Arabidopsis thaliana: one gene and its partners. The protein of the gene in region 3 binds, or shares a complex with, the protein of the main gene of each other region. Each region holds a gene or a part of one and is shown on either strand. Other genes may lie near its edges.

Region 1 (4,927 bases), on a different chromosome or scaffold from region 3:
AAATAGTTACAAATAAAACATACAAAGCTATTCATATGCAAATCTCATAAATCACCTTTAGATATGCAATTTTTGTCTCAAGTCTCTTGTACTTAACATAACACCGCATAGCTCACAAATCTACGCTGAAAAGTTGACGACTTTTGGTCAGTTTAAAATGCAGGATAAGTGTAAACTGATGTATGTGAACAGCACAATGCAGCTGTCAAACTCAACTTCAGATAAACTTTGCACTAAAAAAAAAACACAGTTTTGACCATTAGTCATTTAAAATAGTTGTGGGCAGATAGATCTTTTGACTTAATTGTAATATAAGGTATTAGGTGAATCATCGTGGTCCGATCATTGCTATATCAACAGTTTTGTTATCCAACTACAATGGTAATGAGAAATCAACATGTGAAAATCTACTACTGCTAGTTAACAAGAGCATCGATCTCAAATCAAAAACATTAAATTAACAACCATCTCAGTATCTCACAGGTTTGTTGGCTTCCAGAAATGACTACATACCTGTCAAGAACTCATATATAGCAGCCTCGATAGCAAACTACTAGTAAACGAAACATGACTTCTTATTGAACTATGTTTATATCAGTCGTATTCAAACTTTTAAGAAAAGAAAAAACAAAGAGAAGAAACTACTAATTTGAGATTATTTTATCACTAGTCCCCACTTCTGAAAGAAGATTTCAACACCACTGAGTCAGAAAAATTATTGGCCAGATCTTCAATATACTAATAAGAAAAGGACAAAAATAGTAAAACAAAAACCAAACCCATTGTTGGTTGACTAACAAAAAAAACTAACAATGAAGTCTCAATGAGATTTACCAAGATGAGATTTTTCTACTACATTCGATTGCATAAACGGATTTTATTTTGAAAGTGAATCGCTGAAATCTAGGGTTTCATGCCCAAACAAGAAACATCATCGGAAACATAATCGTATTAGTTGAATCCTTAAAATCTGTAAGAAATATCACTTTACCTCATAGACTCGCCGGAAAAAAAATCCAAACCCAGCCGGAATCTACCACCGAATACCTCATCTACGCACACAAAGACAGAAACTTTAACGCACCATTCTATTTCTAAGCCCACCATTGATTCCTCAATAAATTCCTAATTTTCCCGCCAATGTTTTGGATTTTTCCTTTTATTTATTTATCTTTATTCTTATTTGATGTTTTTCGAACTTCGAATGATTACTAGTTTCTTTGTCAGATTGGATGATAATTCTGATGAAACATGAAGGAACGATTTCAATCTTTAAGGGATTCATGTAAACTACTTGATAAGGAAAGTGTTTACACCAAAAGAAAAACAAATACAAGATGGTTCAGCAACAAATAACAGAGATTAACAACATCTCGAGGAAACAACAAGGAAGAGACCATAAATCAATAGCGGGTTTTTTCAAGCAGATTTAGCAGCTTCAGCTGCTTCTTCTGCAGCTTCTTCTTCTTGAAGTTTCTTCAGAGACGGAGGTGGTCTTGGTACTATGCTTTTCTTCCATTGTCTGTCAAGTTTCCTCGACAACCTTTTCTTTATCCCTTCTTTGATCTCCCTCTCTCTTTTAACCGTCAACATCCGAGCAACCTAAATCACCCACAACCAAAAGATCACATCTTCAGTACCAGAAAAGAGACGGACGTAAGCCAAAAAAACCAAGAAATCTCTACTTGAATTTAGTGTCATCTCCAGCTAAGTTGGGTGGATTAGTCACTTAGAGCTCAAGATTCATGTCTGATTGAAATCCCAGCAATCAGTAAAACCAAAGCAAGTAAATTCTCATCTAAAGCTAGTTTGGTGCATTGGCACACTTAAAAGACTAAACAAACGATATCGCAAAGCTCAACATTCATGTCTAACTGAAACCGTAGTATCCTAAGAACATATTCGAAGCTTGTGTGCAAGAATCTATAAAAGGGGATGGATTGAACTCAATATTAAATCTCTAATTCCATTCCACCACCTACCAAAAACAGTATTAGATATCACAAAACAGTAACTTACAATGTTGCCATTGTTAGAGTTTAGAATCAACTATAATGTGTAGAACAAACAACACAAAACATTGCTTATAGAGTTCGCTAACATCTTCTACAACTTCATATTAAATAATCCTATTTTCCATGGTGATGATTTCAATGTTTCCATCAATAAACCACATATCCCAATTTTGTTAAACCCTTTCAAAGACTGCCAAAATCGACCAGATAACACAAAGTAGATTTCACAATTTGGAATAATTCTGCATTAAAGAGTAAGAAAAAAGCTTACTTGTTTCTTCATACGACGAAAGTCGCTAGATTTGAACTCATTCCTTGCCGATTTCTGGAGACGAAGCATAAAGAGCTCACCTTTAAGGTCAACAACCTCCTCTTGTAACTGCTCCGTCGTCTTCGATCTTATCTCTTTCAATTCCGCCTCTCTTTTCGACATCATCACCACCGACGGTTTAGGAGACGACGACGATATCGTCGCCGCCGCGGGGACGCGAGCAGAAACCTGGTGCTGGATTCTGACACCATGGAATGAAGACGAAGTTGAAGTCGCCGAAGCAGTTCCTCTACGAAAAATCGCCGCCGTCCCCGGCGTAGCGATTGAGAGACTAAGCATTGTAGCTATGGCGGAGGAAGAAGAAGAAGAGCAGAGTTCTCACTCTCGAGCGATTTTGAGGATAATGAAGAGAAGAAACTCTATGAGATAAGGCTTTTCTTATATCTTACTATTTGCCCCTTTATTTACCTCTAATTACGAAACTGGTCCAAACGTATCAAAAAAAATCAAATAGGTGTCACACAAAACGTAAAATTAAGTAAAGCCCCTATAGTTTTCAAATTGCAGATAGCTCGACATTATTACAGGGGATTTGGAACCAAGTTTATATAATTCTGAAATTGTTTACAAATCAAACAAACATTCGAAAAACTTGCCTCTTTCAAAAGCTAAAAAGTACAAATTTTTGCACCCCCACCTTTTTCTGATATTTACAACTTATCAATACATGATGTTTTTCAAATTTTCTAATTCCGCCGCAGAGTAAAAATAAATATCAGCAGCAACCCCTCTATTTATTCAGAGTAGTCCTCTGTTTTCAGATGCACTCATTCTTCATTTTTTGAGGTCTTTCCATTTTCTTCATTTGGTTGTTACAAAATAACTCAAACCTACGTTGGTTCACGATGTCGAGTTGCCCAACTTGAGCTCAAGGCTCTAAGCCGTTGAAAATACTCACCAAGAGCTAATAATCCTCGAGCCGCTTGTCGCGTTGTCAATATCCGATACATTTGTTGCAATGTTTCATGTCTCAAGTGATCAGCCTAAGAATGAACAAACAAAATCAAGAAACTGATACTATAGTATTTTCAAATGAGTTTGAATATATATATTTTACCTGATTTACGAAACTGACCAAAGCTTCTAATCTATCCATAGCAGAATTCACCTGAGGAATGTAACTTCCTTCACCGAGTTGTCCCGCTGCAACGCAGTCCGCAAGGGTGTGTTGCAGCTTCTCCATACCTTGAGTCAACGCGTCTTCTGCTTGCTGACACGATTGTTTTAGATTGCATACATCTAGAAGTTGTTGATCCGTCAAGACATCAAAATGTGGCAAAAGAACCTACAAAAAAAAACATTTGAAACATTGTAATCTTGCTTGTTTCCTTCTATTCATTAAACATTACGCTAGATTGTTATTTGTTTTATACCTTGAGAAGATCGGAGGGTCGAAATCCGCCAATCCATAAGAAGAATCGTTCTGCTGAAGTTCTCCACATCCCTGACATGACGAAGAAGACATCGGCTTTGGCAGCAGACGATTTCATCCGGAAAAGCTCAAAGTAATGTTTCATGGCGTTTTCGACTAGCGAACGAAGCTCGATATCGTTAATGTGTCCGTGTAAAACTGTTCTTAGTTCACATATCTGTCTGTTCTGTTCTTCAACCCAATGTCCATATTCCATTTCAAATGCAGCAATCCCTGCAAATCAAATAAGCTTCCACCAATCAAAATCTTGAATTCTATATTTTTTCCAAAAGACTCATTGTTCTTGATTCAAAACCTGGATTCATGGTTTCCGAAAAACCGAGAGAATTAGTATCTATTCCGTTTCCTACATAGAATCCCTGAAAACATTCATATTCAATCAGAAATTGCATTATATTTTGGAACTCGAAAGAAAGCGAATATATATTTAGATTTCATTTCATTAACCTGTTGTCTAGCACGATCGAGTTCTTGCTCTAATTGAATTAGCTTCAACCTGCTTGTTTCCAGTTGCTGAACATAAGCCTGCAAAAAAAAAAAACAATCAAATCTCTCAACTCATTAGGCAAACAGAAACAGTTTACCAAGGGGAAGAAAATGAAGTCATACCTTCTTGCGCAAGCGACTTTTCCTAGCAGCCTCGCGGTTTTGAGCAAGCCGTCTTTGTATCTGTAACGATATAACGATTTAGTCTATATGATGCGTAGAAATTTATGATTAAGAAACTGATAGAGAAGTATTTGAATAGCTAACCTTATCGGGATGTCTAGACGTTGAAGCTTCTTGATCGAACATGTGAGGAGTTCCTGCTGTTCCATGGGAAGTATCCTCTGACTATAAAAAAAAAAAAAAGATTGTCAAGAAATGAAAGCTAGTTTAAATTTCTGAAAACAGACCAAACAAATTTATCATCAGGAGGTTGAAGAGCAATGAAGTAAAAAAGTACCACGTTGTTGTCTAGTTTCTGATTATTCGGTATTATTATGTGGTTTGGTGTGTTCATAGTCCCATTGCTAATATTGCTTTTGAAACTCTCCCCCCACATACCGAATTGATGGACAGGTTCGTATATACCAACTCTTCTCGGTGGCACAAAATGTGTCGATGTCGAATTCATGTTTTCCTCAACTGAAAACAAAGAACAAATTG
Region 2 (4,156 bases), on a different chromosome or scaffold from region 3:
AAAAGTCAAATTACATGGTGGATGTAATTATTCTATTGCAGATGAAGAGAAAGAGCAGGAGATGCAGATAGGATTTCCGACCGATGTAAAGCATGTTGCCCACATTGGCTCCGACGGTCCAACCAACACCACACCAAGCTGGGTAAGATCATACGTACATTTATACGTATTTTCATACATGTCACACGTATCTGTGCTCATTATTGTTTTTTTATGGGACAAAAACTGCAGATGAATGACTTTAAAACTCAAGAACATGAGAAAGGTCAAGTCGTTTCCAGGGGAAATTCCAACAAATACAACCCGCAAGGTTAGTTATTTTTGCAAAGTGTGTTTTTCCTTTTCCCTTAAAGTGTTAAGCTTTGAGGAACAAATCTGGATTGGTTCGAGGAATTGATGTGTATCTCAATAGGGACGAACCAACGTGGAGCCGGGCTAAAAGAGTTACTGCCTTCGAACACAAACGAGAAACCGAAACAGAAAACAAGGCGGAAACCCGGAGGAGCAGCTTCTCCAAATCATAACGGGTCTCCGCCTAGAAAAAGTAGCGGAAATGCTGCATCATCAGATGAACCATCAAAGCATTCAAGACATAACCGAAGCGCACACGGGTCAACAGACTCATCGAATGATCAAGAACCATCAGTTCGCAGAAGGCGTGGTGGTATCCCGGCTCCAGACACAGAAGTTCCTAATCAAATACCTGATGGTTCAGCTCCTCCACGGAAGGCTACATCGCGTCCTAGGAAACTAAAAGGATCATCAGCAGGAGGAGAAGGTTCGATTAAGAAGTCTTCAAAAGGAAAACCCGAGAATTCAGTTGATACAACCTGTAACGATATTATCTGAGAAACATAAACAAAACCATGAAATGTATTATTTGAGCCACCTGCAAGTGAGAGTTTGTTTTCGTTTCTCTTTAAAGTCTTTTCTTGACAGTGTCTGATACAACAACTCAGAGATTCCATTGATACTTACCAAAATCTAGAAAGGAAATGTACGAGTACTGCAAAAGGAGAAGCAAGAAATGTATATAATAAACTTTGCGATCATCATATCTATTTCTTGCGAAGATCAATGCCGGCTTTCTTGGCAACAGCGTCGAGTCCGTTCTTCTCAATGGTCTTCAAAGCCTTAGTTGATAAACGAAGTTTGACAAAACGTTTGCCAGCTTCCCACCAAACTCTCTTGTATTGTAAGTTGACGAATTGCAACTTCTTGGTCTTGTGGTTAGAGAATGAAACTTTGTTTGCTCTGTTTGCTTTCTTCCCAGTAAAAGGGCAGATTCTACCTGACATTTTGGAAAACAAAAACACAGTTTCAAGAAAAAAGGAGCAAATTGCCCAATGCTCAGAATCATATAAATGTGGTCAATTTTGGAGAATTTTTTTAACATAACATCAAATTCAAAGGAAAAGTTTAATACGAGAAATTATGCTACGGGTTTTAAATACACTGCTCATTTTCATATCTAAAAGCAAAGACATAGTTCCAGACAATTCAACACAAGCTTGCTAACTCAGAGATTCGAAATTCGACATGAATAAAACGAAAGCAAGATAAATTTAGTACGCCAATGCATTCGACTAAACCCTAAGAGAAAGGGAAAAGGGGAATTACGTGCGACGATTGGCTGAATCCCGGGGAACGAAGGAAGGGAGATACGGTTGATGACGTCACTGGGAGTATATGAGATTCTTAAGCCGCTGAGCTGGGAGGTGAGGAATCCAAGCTCCTTTGAAGTCACGGTTGACTTGGTCATGGACTTGGCTGATGAGGTCATTCGTAGCCAAGCGCCTTGTGTCGCCATTGTCGTCATTTTTGGTTGCTGTTACTTCTGCTTCGAAGGAGGATTTGGATAAAGAAGGAGATTGGGTTCATTTTATTTATTATTTTGTAGAAAATGAAAGACGCTTTCTCATTCAGAAGGTTACGTTCTCTTTTAACACAACAATTTTTCAGTAAGCAAACCGGTCCATATAGCCACCAACACAATAGTATGGTTTCATCTTTCCCTTCTTGGATTCTCTAATACATAAAAGTAACGAGACACAGGTGGTGATGAATAATCCAACCTGATCAATCCCAACGATTACAAAGAGATTTTTGAAGGGTTTTTGATTGTAGATGCTATGTATCTCTGAACTCGGTTTGAACCGGTTATGTGGTAAAGATGAGAAGAATCACAGAGTCTCACTTGTTGTGGGATTATTTACCCACTTGGGAACCGGATTTGGTAAAGCTCTTTAGAAACATATTCTGCTTTCACAATCCGGTTATCATATAGCCTTCCGTGTAAAGAATGGGCTGCATCACATGTCGCTTCTGGTCTTCTGTACTCAATGAAGATACAACCCGTCTCAAATACATCCTCGGGGTCTTCTTCTTGTTCTTCTTCTATCTTGTCGCCAGCATCCCATCTTGTCTTCACGGTACGCACTGATGCTACTTCTTGTGGATTCTCTGCCTCGGCCTGCGCACTTTCTTCAACAATCTTTTCACAATGCTCTTGTTCAGTGGAGTGTAGATCTTCATTTTCTTGAGTGCTTGTTTCAGCAGCAGTATCCGAGCACGGTTCACATAACTTGTCTTCACCTGTCAAACTGTCTGGCATGACAACCTCTGCAAGATCTACATTGTCTGCAATATCTTCCGCTTTCTCGGATCCTTCATCTTTCTCCTCGATCACTGACACATTCATTTCTTTAGAATCAGTTGATTCTAAGTTCAACAATGGATTTGTTTCAGAAACAGTGATATCTTTGCTCTTGTGTTCCAAGATGTTTATCGACTTAATAACCCCAAACCTGCATCATGACAAGACCCAGAGGCCTATTTTCTTAATTTACTAGCTTTTAAAAGCTCAATGGACTCATGGGAAGATGATCTCAGAGCTTAACCTGGCACATTCTAACCGTACATCCTCCAAAATTTCTTTCACTTCTTGCTCGGAAAACGACGTGAGATCTTCTGGGTCAACCTGTCAAACAAGAAAGAATGGAATGTTAATATAGCCTCACATAGTTTATTTGGGAAAGATTCACAAGAAAAAGGATACACCAATTATGCTTACCACATTTTTTAGCTTTAGAATATTCTTAGGCTTGCCAAGAAGTGGTTTTGCATGGCTAGGTATCCCATAGAATGGTGGATTCTCATTCACCTGCAACACATATTACGTACACACACCACTCTCACAAGTAACTAAAGGAATTTCTGTTCAATGTCACCCATACAAACACAACATGAACTAACGAAAGCAAAGTTGGGTCACTGAATTACCGCTACGGATGATGCATCAGGAAATGCACAAACGGCTGTTATTACACTGCCACCTAACCTCATACCATTTAGACCAGCACAAGCTTTGAGGGTAACAGATCCATCAGTGTACTGAAATATAGAGATTTAAAAAGAGTTAGGGCTGGTTAATATGAATATACTTGGAACTACAGTCACATTCATGGTTACTCTGTAAAAGTTACAAGGTAATAACACCTTCCCATGCTACCCGGAAAATGAAAAATTAAAGATATGAAACAATCACAAGAACTACATCGAGATGGCAGACTAAGATGGGGGTATCTTGGCCACAAATAAAAGTACATTCTAACCTCTAGGAAAGCGCATCGCTGATTGAGATCATTGTTGCTCACGAACCGGTATGCTTTCAAAGGTCCAAAGACGCTGACAATCTCCATAAGCTGGAAAAACGTTAAAGAGGAATCAGACAATCCTAGAAGTTGAAACGATAGAAATGGGGACAATAGAAGATTGAACGTGTCAAATGTTTTCAAAGAATTACAGTTCAGCATACCATTTCAGATGAAATAGCTTTTGAAAATCCGCCAATGAAGATCTGCAACAAGTACACTAGGCTCAATATCAAGCTTGACAGAAAAAGAAATTAGTATAGCAAGCAAATACAGTGAAGCTTTCAACATTATCAACCACAAAGATGCCGTAGCTGCGGAGAGAACTGCACTTCTATTCTCTGCGTGTTTTTCACTTTAAGATTATAATAAGGTGGTCTGACATTTGGCTTTCCAGGTTGAACCACTATGAACAAGCTTTTGATCATAACACCTACTACCAGCCAAACTTACAAAAAAGTTGATCCAGCCACATGTTTTATTCCTTTGTTGTTAACTCTAAC
Region 3 (5,007 bases):
CCTGAAAACAATTGCAACTGCAGCTGAGAAATGTACAATAAGCAGCAAAACAGAGACATGGATTTTACAAAAAACAGAAAAAACATACTTTTCCGAATCATCATTGGTTTCGACAAGTTGATCCATGGCAAATTGTTGTTCATTTGCTATACTCATCATACAATGCACAAAAATCTTAGCTGATTGAGGCCAAAAAACACCAGTATCTCTTCTTAACGCCTTAATCAAGTAACTCTACAGTAGTTGTCTATAGTAAATACCGTGAAATATGATTCTTCGATATTACAGTAACCACCAATAATATCTCAACTAGCAAAACTTAAACCACGATTCACCACCACGCAACTTCATCAGGATCTAGCTATATGTACAGTGAAAGATTTCAGAGAAGAGAAATTACAGCTCAAAGCCAAAGAAAACTAGCTCATCCTAAACTCACAAGGCTTTAATCTCTCGTATCGGATTCTCTCACCCAACCAAAATAAATAAAAACCTCAAATCGGGAAAAGATGAAAACAGATTATAACATTTCTGCAGTAATCTAAGGTCTTCGACAGCTAGGGTTTTTAGCGCTAATGGGGAATTACATGGATTCCAGAATCCATCAGAAAAGGATAATTAGAAAGAAAAAAAAGTAAGAGTCGCCGATTCTAGAAGAACAAAAGGAGAACGGAGAAACCAATTAGGGTTTCGATCTGCAGAAAGATAATTTTGCTGTTGCTGTTTGTTTTGATCGATTGATGATGAAAAAGAGAAGATCGAAACCAAGTCTTACAAAGAAGAGCGATTTCTCTCAAAGGGGAAGGTAAAATTGACAAATCCACGCGCTAGCTTTTCACGTTCACTCACGCGCTACATTTTGTATAATCCACAAAACTTTCAATAAATTACAGAAAAACCTTGATAAATTTTTACCATAACAACAAGATCCCTGATATTATTTTCAAATTGACTCATAAAGCATTACAAAAGGAGATGGTTTTTCTGAAACATGAAATGGTTGGTTACAGAAGACGATACATACAATAGGCAGCTATGTTCATCATCTCTTTCCTTTTCCTTTAGCATCAAAGTGATGAGACTTTAGTTTCTTCTTCCGCACTATCGCGCCTGTGCTGCCACCACCTCCTTCCCTGAAAGGCATTCCCATTAGAGCCAATAGTTTCTGTCCTTCTTGATCGCTTTTAGCCGTTGTGCTGATGCATACATCCATTCCTCTCGTTTTTCCAACGGCATCAAACCTAGAGTGTAATAAACCAACCAACCAACATAGAGTTTAGTTGCTCGGTTGTAAACAAAGAGTGGGACTAAAGAGAAACCATGCTTGATCTTGTTGAACCAGCGGATAACAAGTTAGTAGTTTTGATTTTGAGGGTAGATACAATAGAACTAACCTGATTTCAGGGAATACACCTTGGTCTTTCACACCAATACTGTAGTTTCCGTTCCCATCAAAGCTACTGGGACTCACACCTTGGAAATCTCGAGTTCTCGGAAGGGCTAAGTTGATAAGACGATCCAAGAAGGAGTACATTACCTGTCACAACAGTCAAAATCACAAAATGTTAATACATAAATAACTCAAAAGGAAAGTTTGATTAGTCAAGAGAAATATAGCTCACATCTCCTCTGAGAGTGACAGCAATCCCAAGAGGTTGATCTTCCCTGATCTTGAAAGTAGCAATGGAAGCTCTAGCTCGTGTCTTAATAGGTTTCTGCCCTGTGATAAGCGCGATATCCTTCATCGCAGCCTCCAAACCCTTGTCGTTCTGCGCCGCATCTCCAATACCACAATTCACTACAATCTTCTGTACCTTTGGAACCTGGTAGAGAAGATGTCCAAGCAGATATACAACAATGATGAGATTGACAAATTCACATTCACATTTGTAAATGGCACATCCCAACAGCACGATTTTATCAACACAACAATCTTAAATCTAGGCTTCTTCACTACATTTTCTAGAAGAAATCAATTCAAACTTATCATTAAAAGCAAATTAGGTTTAACATTCGCTCAAAAAATTCGAATTCACTGAGAATTAGACTTCAATCAATCGCAACAGAACAAAAACTAGGTTTGAGCTCAGAGGGGAAGGATTTGGGGTTACCTGGTGAATATTAACGTACTTGAACTCTTCTTTGAGCGCAGGGATAATCCTCTCGAGGTAAGCGGTTTTGAGGCGTTGAGTTTTCTCGGCTTCAGATTTCTCGACCAGTACAGTTCCAGACGCCGAGACTTTCACCACGTTTCTGAGCGGCGGAGAGAGCATTCGTGCGGAGGATGGAGCCGCTAATGGTGAGAAACGTCCGTGAAACGAAGAAGCGGAAGACTGCAGAAGCGAAGGAGACGCCATTGTCGAAGCTCCAAGTGGATAAAGTGTGAAGTGAGAGCTCTCGGCGTTCGTTGTTGATTAAACCCAATGGCACCTTCGTAATTTGTTGACAGTTTGAGGATAAGGAGTTTTCCGTTTAGCCCCTTTAAAACATAATATTTCAACTAAGGCCCCAATATTTGATAATATACTATTATACTTAGAGATTTTAGATAAAATATAGGGGTTGTTTCATATGGGCCTAAATCTCAGCCCGTTTACTATTTGGGCTTCTAAGGTATAACCCGTACCCGTGTTTTTGTTGTTTTACATATCCACACCGACCTGAGAAGAGTCAAAAACGAAAAACCTCTCTTTTGTCGTTCCTCTGCTTTCTTCGATTTGCTTCTGCTTTCTTCGATTTGCTTCTGCTTTCATCGCGGTTCAGGTCACTCTTTTCTCAGCCATGGCGATTCCTTTCATGGAAACCGTCGTGGGTAAGCTTCAAAACCTTTTTCTGAGACATTTTACTATCCTGTTTCACTCATCGTATTTCGTTTTTGTTTGGGTTTTGCTTTCTGTGTTGTGTGTGTTGAGATTCCATGACTCGTTTGTTTCATATACCATCGTCTCTGCTTCTCGTTTCTAAATTTTGTTCTTTTCTAATAGTGCGTACCTTGATCTGAGGTTTTATTACTCCTACTAGTTTCTTGTCTTACTCGTGCGTTTGATTTGATTTGAGCTTATGTGATTTCATCATCTCTTCCTCGGTTTTAGAATGTACGGAGCTTCTCTGTTAACCAAAATCTAGGATTTGGGAAGAAAAGTCGGAGTCTTTTTTTTCCTCATTCCCGATTGGAAATTGAGAATCTTGAAATTTTTCTTTGTTCAAGTCATACAGCTTGAGGTTTTGGGTTTTCTTGTCAGGGTATTATTATGTTCGTGACTGCAACTAGAGTTTTCTGGAGTTTTTTGAAATGGGTTTTGTGTTGTGGAACCGTATGTGAATGTTGCATCAAAACTCTTTCAGTGCTCCAATGTTTCCATCAGTAGTCAGCACAAGAGATCTTTTTATATCTGGTTGATCAAAAAAGTAGATGATGTTATTGAATTTTCAGTGATGGAGTATCTGTTGTTGTGGCATTTAGAGTAGATTCGTATTTCATCTTCTGTTTTATTCTTTTTCTTACAGGTTTTATGATAGTGATGTACATTTTTGAGACGTATTTGGATCTGAGGCAACTCACTGCTCTCAAGCTTCCAACTCTCCCGAAAACCTTGGTTGGTGTAATTAGCCAAGAGAAGTTTGAGAAATCACGAGCATACAGTCTTGACAAAAGGTTTCGTCTTGATCATATTTATATCATTTTAGTTTTTTATAATTGCCAGGGGATATCATCACTGAGAACTTTAATATATGCAGCTATTTTCACTTTGTTCATGAGTTTGTAACTATACTTATGGACTCTGCAATTTTGTTCTTTGGGATCTTGCCTTGGTTTTGGAAGGTACATATCTGGTTTCGGTATACAGTATCTCATTTTGAATATAGAGTTGTTACATTACAATTGTAAAGTTTTCATTTTTACCTTAGATGTCTGGAGCTGTTTTACCGAGGTTGGGCCTTGATCCAGAGAATGAAATACTGCATACTCTTTCATTCTTGGCTGGTGTTATGACATGGTCACAGGTGTTCCAAATAAACCCCTTCATATAGTCCTATACGTTTAGCATCAAAATATCTATTTTCTTAAGATAATAATATTTCTTTTATATTCTGATGCAGATCACTGATTTGCCATTTTCTTTGTACTCAACTTTCGTGATCGAGTCTCGGCATGGGTTCAACAAAGTATGTCGTATTTCCAACACTACCTTGTGACTTACGTTTTTTTATCAGAGATGTGGATTAAATTTGCTTCTAAATTCTGTTGACAGCAAACAATATGGATGTTCATTAGGGACATGATCAAAGGAACATTCCTCTCTGTCATACTAGGCCCACCCATTGTTGCTGCGATAATTTTCATAGTCCAGGTTTGATGATTCTGGATTCATCTTATTTCTGAGTTTTTCACATGGATGACTATTCTCCATTGAGTGTGAGCTTCAAAGTTTTTAGTTTTCGTGTTAAAAATTTAAAATTTGCTTCTCTGAGCATGAAGTTTCTATCTTTTTCCAGAAAGGAGGTCCTTATCTTGCCATCTATCTGTGGGCATTCATGTTTATCCTGTCTCTAGTGATGATGACTATATACCCGGTCTTGATAGCACCGCTCTTCAACAAGTTCACTCCTGTGTGTATTTCTGTCATGGCCATTTTACAATTCACTGCTTGTTTGCATATGTTGTTACCAGACAATATAATCTCCCGCTTTTTTATGGCTATAGCTTCCAGATGGAGACCTCCGGGAGAAGATTGAGAAACTTGCTTCTTCTCTAAAGTTTCCTTTGAAGAAGCTGTTTGTTGTCGATGGATCTACAAGGTCAAGCCATAGCAATGTGAGAAGCTTGAGATCTCTTCCTACCTACTTTACTCTAGTTTACCATTAGAAGCTTACGTATCTTGTTACATCATACAGGCTTACATGTATGGTTTCTTTAAGAACAAAAGGATTGTTCTTTATGATACGTTGATTCAGCAGGTACTGTGACTCTTGATGCTTCAAACGAGCTATACTCACATTTCTGTT
Region 4 (4,806 bases), on a different chromosome or scaffold from region 3:
CAGGGTGGATGCAGAAAATGCGCGATAGTGATGATGTGTTCATCGACGTCCTAAACAGACGTGATCGTGGAGGCAACACGGTTTTGCACCTAGCTGCATACGAGAACAATGACAAGGTATGTACTTTCTCTTTTATTTTTTTTGTCTTTTAAAGTCAGTCATTCAAATTTGGTTTGAACTTTTTTGTTTTATCGTCCATAAGATGTTTAAATGGTTGATCCGTGTTCTCTTTAATTATACGCTAGTATATTTGGGATGTGAATATGTAATTCAATATAACCACATACTATCAGAAATTAAATTGACCAAGAAGTTGTTAGACCAAACACTCATTTATGTCATTCTTAAGTCTTAACATCATTAAACTCACATCCTCTTTGAATAATTTATGTTATTATTCAGGTAGTAAAACAGCTGGTAAAATGCCTGTCACTGGACCGGAACATCCAGAACAAAAGTGGCATGACGGCCCTTGATGTCTTACGAGCCAGAGGATCTCACATGAACAAAGAAATAGAGGAAATCATACAAATGTCCGGTGGTAAGACCGGAGGCTCTCTATCCGGAATTCAGGAATGGTATATCTTCCTGAGGGAACCGGTCACTTTCAAGGAACATTGCAAGACGCGAATTGCACGTTACAGGAGTCGCATATCAGACGGATCACGTAACGCTCTTCTAGTAATAGCAGCTTTGATAATCTCAGCCACTTTTCAGACTGCAGCCCAACTGCTAGACAAAGAAAAACTAGATAAAGTTAAAAAGAATGGTATGAGGTTTTCGGAATTCCAACTATGGGGATGCAATACGGTAGCGTTTTCCATAGCTATCCTATTTTCATTTATTCTCTTACCAGTTGGCAGAGCATATGAGTGGTGGTATTTCATTATTACGGTGCCCCTCGTCTTCTCTTATTTCCTTTTGATGTACATGATGCATGGTCTCTCATTCTTCTTCCTCATCATATATGAAGGGGGCTTATTCCTCGTGTATCTACTGGTATTATATGTAAAGTGGAAACGGTGTACGCAGATGAAGGTACGCAAACCCAAAAGCGACCTGATTTCTGACAACTTCAAGAACATGGTTTAACCATTTTGAAGCGTTTGCACTTTGTTCCCTCGAAACTTTGTTTGCTTTAACTTTGTAACGTGCACTCATTTTAAAGATTGTATCTTTTGAATAAATTACTGTAGGTGCTTAAGGTTATGGCGGAGTCATTAATATGTTTAGTTTTTGGTTCAGTTTATTTGATAGGCCGGTCTAACATTGTCAATAACGATCAATATTGATATAGACAAGACTCAAGAGTACCCGGCTTTAGTTCGATTAATATGTTAAATCATGCTAAGAGGTGTTCATGAGGGGAGCAGAAATATTATAATTTACCTTAAAAGGGATTCAATACATCCATCCAATGCATAGGTCTATTATATCAAAAGTGCACTGAAGAAGAAAGAAATGAGACGCTAAGATGCGGAGGTAACTGCAACTTGGGTGGTTTCCTTATCCTTAGCCTCCTTAAGTAGCTTCCACTTCTCAATGGTGTCGATGAGTTCCCCTGTTTTGATCAGATATCTTACCTTCTGTCCATCTTCAAGTACCTTGTGACCCACCCGGCTTACTACGTCTTTTTCTTTTGAATACAACATCACATTTGAGCTGTGGATAGGTGCTTCTATCTGGAAAGCATAATACATTTCGCACAATCTTCAATCATCACTCCAATCTTGCAAAGTAAAGGAAAGCTACAAAACTATGATTTCTGACCTTGACAATTTGACCAGGCTCTCCCTCTTCTCGGCTCTTCATGTGTTTTGTTTTGAGGTTCACATCTTTGATCACAATGGTACTGTTGTGAGTGAAAATCTTAGTAACCTCTCCGATTTTACCCTTGTCGCGTCCAGATATTACTTTGACTGTATCTCCAAACTTGACATGCATTTTGTGGAGAATCGGAAGACTGTTTGGTTTGCATTCTTTTCGTTCCCAACGCTTGAGCTGAAAACGCAAAACACATAAATCATCTTCCAATCTCATTGTTTCAAAAGAATCTATCAACAGTTTTCCTTTTTGCTTTTGATGTGTACAAAATCTAAAGAATTATTGTGGTTTCAAAGCTAGTATATTAACGAATAATGCAGAATGTTAATGTAATGGATCTGTGGACTAACCTTTGCAAGAACAAGACATGGGTTCTCAGCGGGCTTGACCTGCAATGAGTATAAAATAATCAGCAGAGTAACAAAGAAACCATATCCTATTGCAGCTATTTTGCATTTCATAAGAAAATGCAAAAAATCACAACCAAATGAACAAGATAGCCACTTTACTCAATGTGAGCCATCACACGCACATTTTCGTTCGTTTAAAAAGTATAGCATTTACAAGTACTAGTCCATTGATTCCAAACCAATAACTAGTCAATCAGTCTAAAGGATGACGTTTTAAGTCCTCATAACTTTCATCTCAATTCAGTAGTTACACTTAAACATAGACAATGCACAAAATTTTATATCCCAGTAAGCAAAATTCAAACTTAAAATGAGCAACAACACAGATTCAATTTGAGAGTTACTTGATGAAATGGGTTTGGATATGAAAAGCGAAGACATGAACCTAATCTATTACGCAAACAAGTGAACTACATAACCTAAAAGCTTGAACAATGATTAAAAACCTGAATTGACCAGAAATCGAAAATTAAAGTTACCGGAGAAGTGACGGAGAGGGAAATCGGGGAAATTAAACGCTGGCCGAGGAAGGAAGAGCTGGGAGATAGAGAAAGAGAAGTAAAAGAGCTCTGAAGAGCAGACATGGTTGCCATTTTTTCTCGCTCTGCAACTTTCACTCTTCTTCTTTTTCCTTCGTCCTATCCGTTCCACAGATGACGATAAAAATTGGATAAACGATTAAACGACACTGTATTATCACTAAACCTTAATGGGCTAGGCTAGGTTTTAATTGGGCCTTGAATTCAATTCTTTTCATAGCCCAAATATATAATATGGTTCTCCAGTTTTGAACTCGTTTTAACACGAAAAAACAAAGAACAAATTTTCATTCACAAATATAGACAATCTAGCGTCTAAAAACCCAAAAGAATTGAAAAACAAAATCACATTTTAAAAGTTAATAATAATTAAAAAAATTGAGACTTTTTTTTCATTTTGTTTACAAAATCACGTCTTCAGCTATACTACTGTCCAAGGAATTATCCCTCCGATGAATTTCTGATCGTAATGATCCGTTTGCAGTTAACTCACCTTCTGACTCCTCCACTATCGGAGGAGGAGGAGGAAGCCGTGGAGACGGCGACGGAGAATTCTTCTGCCGCTTTCTGCAATGTCTCACTTTAATAACACGAGTCAAAACCTGAACAATGTCCCTCATGTTAGGACGTTTTCTAGGTGCACGAGAGATGCATTTGTAAGCAAAAGCTGCTACTTCATTCACTTCTTGTAAATCATATCTCCCATCTAATCTTGAATCTACTATCTCTTCCCATCCGACTTTTTCCTCTGCATTCATAGCCGCCTGTTCATCAACAACAACAAAACGTTTAGTCTTTACATGCAATTCTCCAAACAAAACAATTGGAGATTTCGAGGACTTTTTAGTTTTATGTTACCAGCTCAACCAATTCCATTAGACCTTGTTGAGGATTTCTTCCTGCTATAAGCTCGAAAAGCAAAACTCCGAAGCCATAGACATCGCTTTTCTTGGTGAATGTTCTTGTTGAAATGTATTCGGGATCGAGGTAGCCAAATGTTCCTCTGATGTTAGCTGCATGTTTGTCTACCATTTCTTCTCTGGAGAGGCCAAAGTCAGCAACCTGAAGTTAAAGAAGATCACCATTAGAAACTTGAGGTGGTTCAATAGACTGAGATTTCAAAGAGAAAGAAGATATGTTTACCCGAGCTCTCATAGATTGATCCAGCAAGATGTTGGAAGATTTGATATCTCTGTGGATTACAGGAGGAACAGCCTGGAACAATTGATTAGAACATGAGTTTTGAAGTTGTTGTTTAAGAGATGCATTAAAATGGTGAATGGTTTTAGCAAGCAGCTTACCCCATCATGAAGATACTCTAGACCACGTGCCACGTCTAAAGCAATATATACTCTCAAATCCCAGCTCAGCGGTTCATGTTTTTCGCCTGTATCAAAAGTACCATTTTAGTGCATCTCAAATCTTTACCAAGGCTCATCATTTAGTGAAGTCTAAACCATCAACTCAATAAATGTTCTACAAAGATACCGAATAGCTCAACATTGCATTAACAGTTCATTTAGTGACAAGCAGATTAATATGGTATGTATAACCAGGTAGTTACTTACTGTATAAATGAGAAGCTAAGCTTCCTTTACTCATGTAAACATATATAAGCATGTGTTGGCCTTTCTCTGCACAGTATCCAATCAAGTTCACTAGGTTACGGTGATGCAACCTTCCCAATAACATAACCTGAAAAGATTAAGGCGAGTGGATGAGTTTTTCAAGAAACTAAGCAGATACTAAGAGAGTAAGATATATAGATTGTTCATTCATGTAGCCTGTCTTATAGATGACACAACTAATAAATTGAGTATTAGAGATTTCAGAAAGCCTATTGTAATGCTTAAAAGTCTGCCTAATGCTACATGTTTTACACACTAACTTGTTCTTCGGAAATGAATCCATAGATATATCTTACCTCTGTCTGAAACTCTTTTTCGCCCTGTTTAGAATCAGTGGCTAGAACTTTCACAGCCACGATCTCACCAGTAGACATTTGAGCTTTGTAGACAGGTCCAAATGCTCCT

What was found.
Region 1: AT4G01310 (region 3) and AT5G65220 share a complex: the UniProt entries of both Arabidopsis thaliana proteins name them as parts of the 50S ribosomal subunit.
Region 2: AT4G01310 (region 3) and PRPL28 share a complex: the UniProt entries of both Arabidopsis thaliana proteins name them as parts of the 50S ribosomal subunit.
Region 4: AT4G01310 (region 3) and RPL24 share a complex: the UniProt entries of both Arabidopsis thaliana proteins name them as parts of the 50S ribosomal subunit.

What each region holds. Positions count from the first base shown.
Region 1 is NC_003076.8:26,058,999-26,063,925, reverse strand, and holds AT5G65220 (Ribosomal L29 family protein), read right to left. Parts: upstream 2,762-4,927; 5' UTR 2,626-2,761; coding exon 2,287-2,625; intron 1,603-2,286; coding exon 1,420-1,602; 3' UTR 1,244-1,419; downstream 1-1,243. Other genes in the region: AT5G65225 (uncharacterized protein), read right to left, coding at 992-996; TGA1 (bZIP transcription factor family protein), read right to left, coding at 3,177-3,329, 3,404-3,631, 3,720-3,991, 4,074-4,137, 4,226-4,303, 4,388-4,447, 4,532-4,612, 4,725-4,895.
Region 2 is NC_003071.7:14,171,283-14,175,438, reverse strand, and holds PRPL28 (Ribosomal L28 family), read right to left. Parts: upstream 1,861-4,156; 5' UTR 1,820-1,860; coding exon 1,621-1,819; intron 1,296-1,620; exon of another isoform or gene 1,292-1,295; coding exon 1,059-1,291; 3' UTR 850-1,058; downstream 1-849. Other genes in the region: RIC1 (ROP-interactive CRIB motif-containing protein 1), read left to right, coding at 42-142, 232-310, 413-849; AT2G33435 (RNA-binding (RRM/RBD/RNP motifs) family protein), read right to left, coding at 2,213-2,807, 2,901-2,980, 3,074-3,163, 3,283-3,393, 3,615-3,704, 3,818-3,859.
Region 3 is NC_003075.7:543,124-548,130, forward strand, and holds AT4G01310 (Ribosomal L5P family protein), read right to left. Parts: upstream 2,444-5,007; 5' UTR 2,358-2,443; coding exon 2,112-2,357; intron 1,824-2,111; coding exon 1,623-1,823; intron 1,538-1,622; coding exon 1,395-1,537; intron 1,242-1,394; coding exon 1,043-1,241; 3' UTR 788-1,042; downstream 1-787. Other genes in the region: AT4G01290 (chorismate synthase), read right to left, coding at 1-1, 89-159; ATSTE24 (Peptidase family M48 family protein), read left to right, coding at 2,782-2,812, 3,508-3,655, 3,739-3,823, 3,910-4,005, 4,102-4,167, 4,254-4,352, 4,498-4,611, 4,706-4,816 and 1 more. UniProt on the Arabidopsis thaliana protein: Binds 5S rRNA, forms part of the central protuberance of the 50S subunit.
Region 4 is NC_003076.8:22,181,067-22,185,872, reverse strand, and holds RPL24 (Translation protein SH3-like family protein), read right to left. Parts: upstream 3,031-4,806; 5' UTR 2,828-3,030; coding exon 2,714-2,827; intron 2,214-2,713; coding exon 2,175-2,213; intron 2,002-2,174; coding exon 1,771-2,001; intron 1,683-1,770; coding exon 1,470-1,682; 3' UTR 1,263-1,469; downstream 1-1,262. Other genes in the region: ANK (ankyrin), read left to right, coding at 1-116, 403-1,092; CRLK1 (Protein kinase superfamily protein), read right to left, coding at 3,175-3,537, 3,632-3,835, 3,917-3,988, 4,075-4,160, 4,342-4,468, 4,698-4,806. UniProt on the Arabidopsis thaliana protein: One of two assembly initiator proteins, it binds directly to the 5'-end of the 23S rRNA, where it nucleates assembly of the 50S subunit. Required for optimal plastid performance in terms of photosynthesis and growth.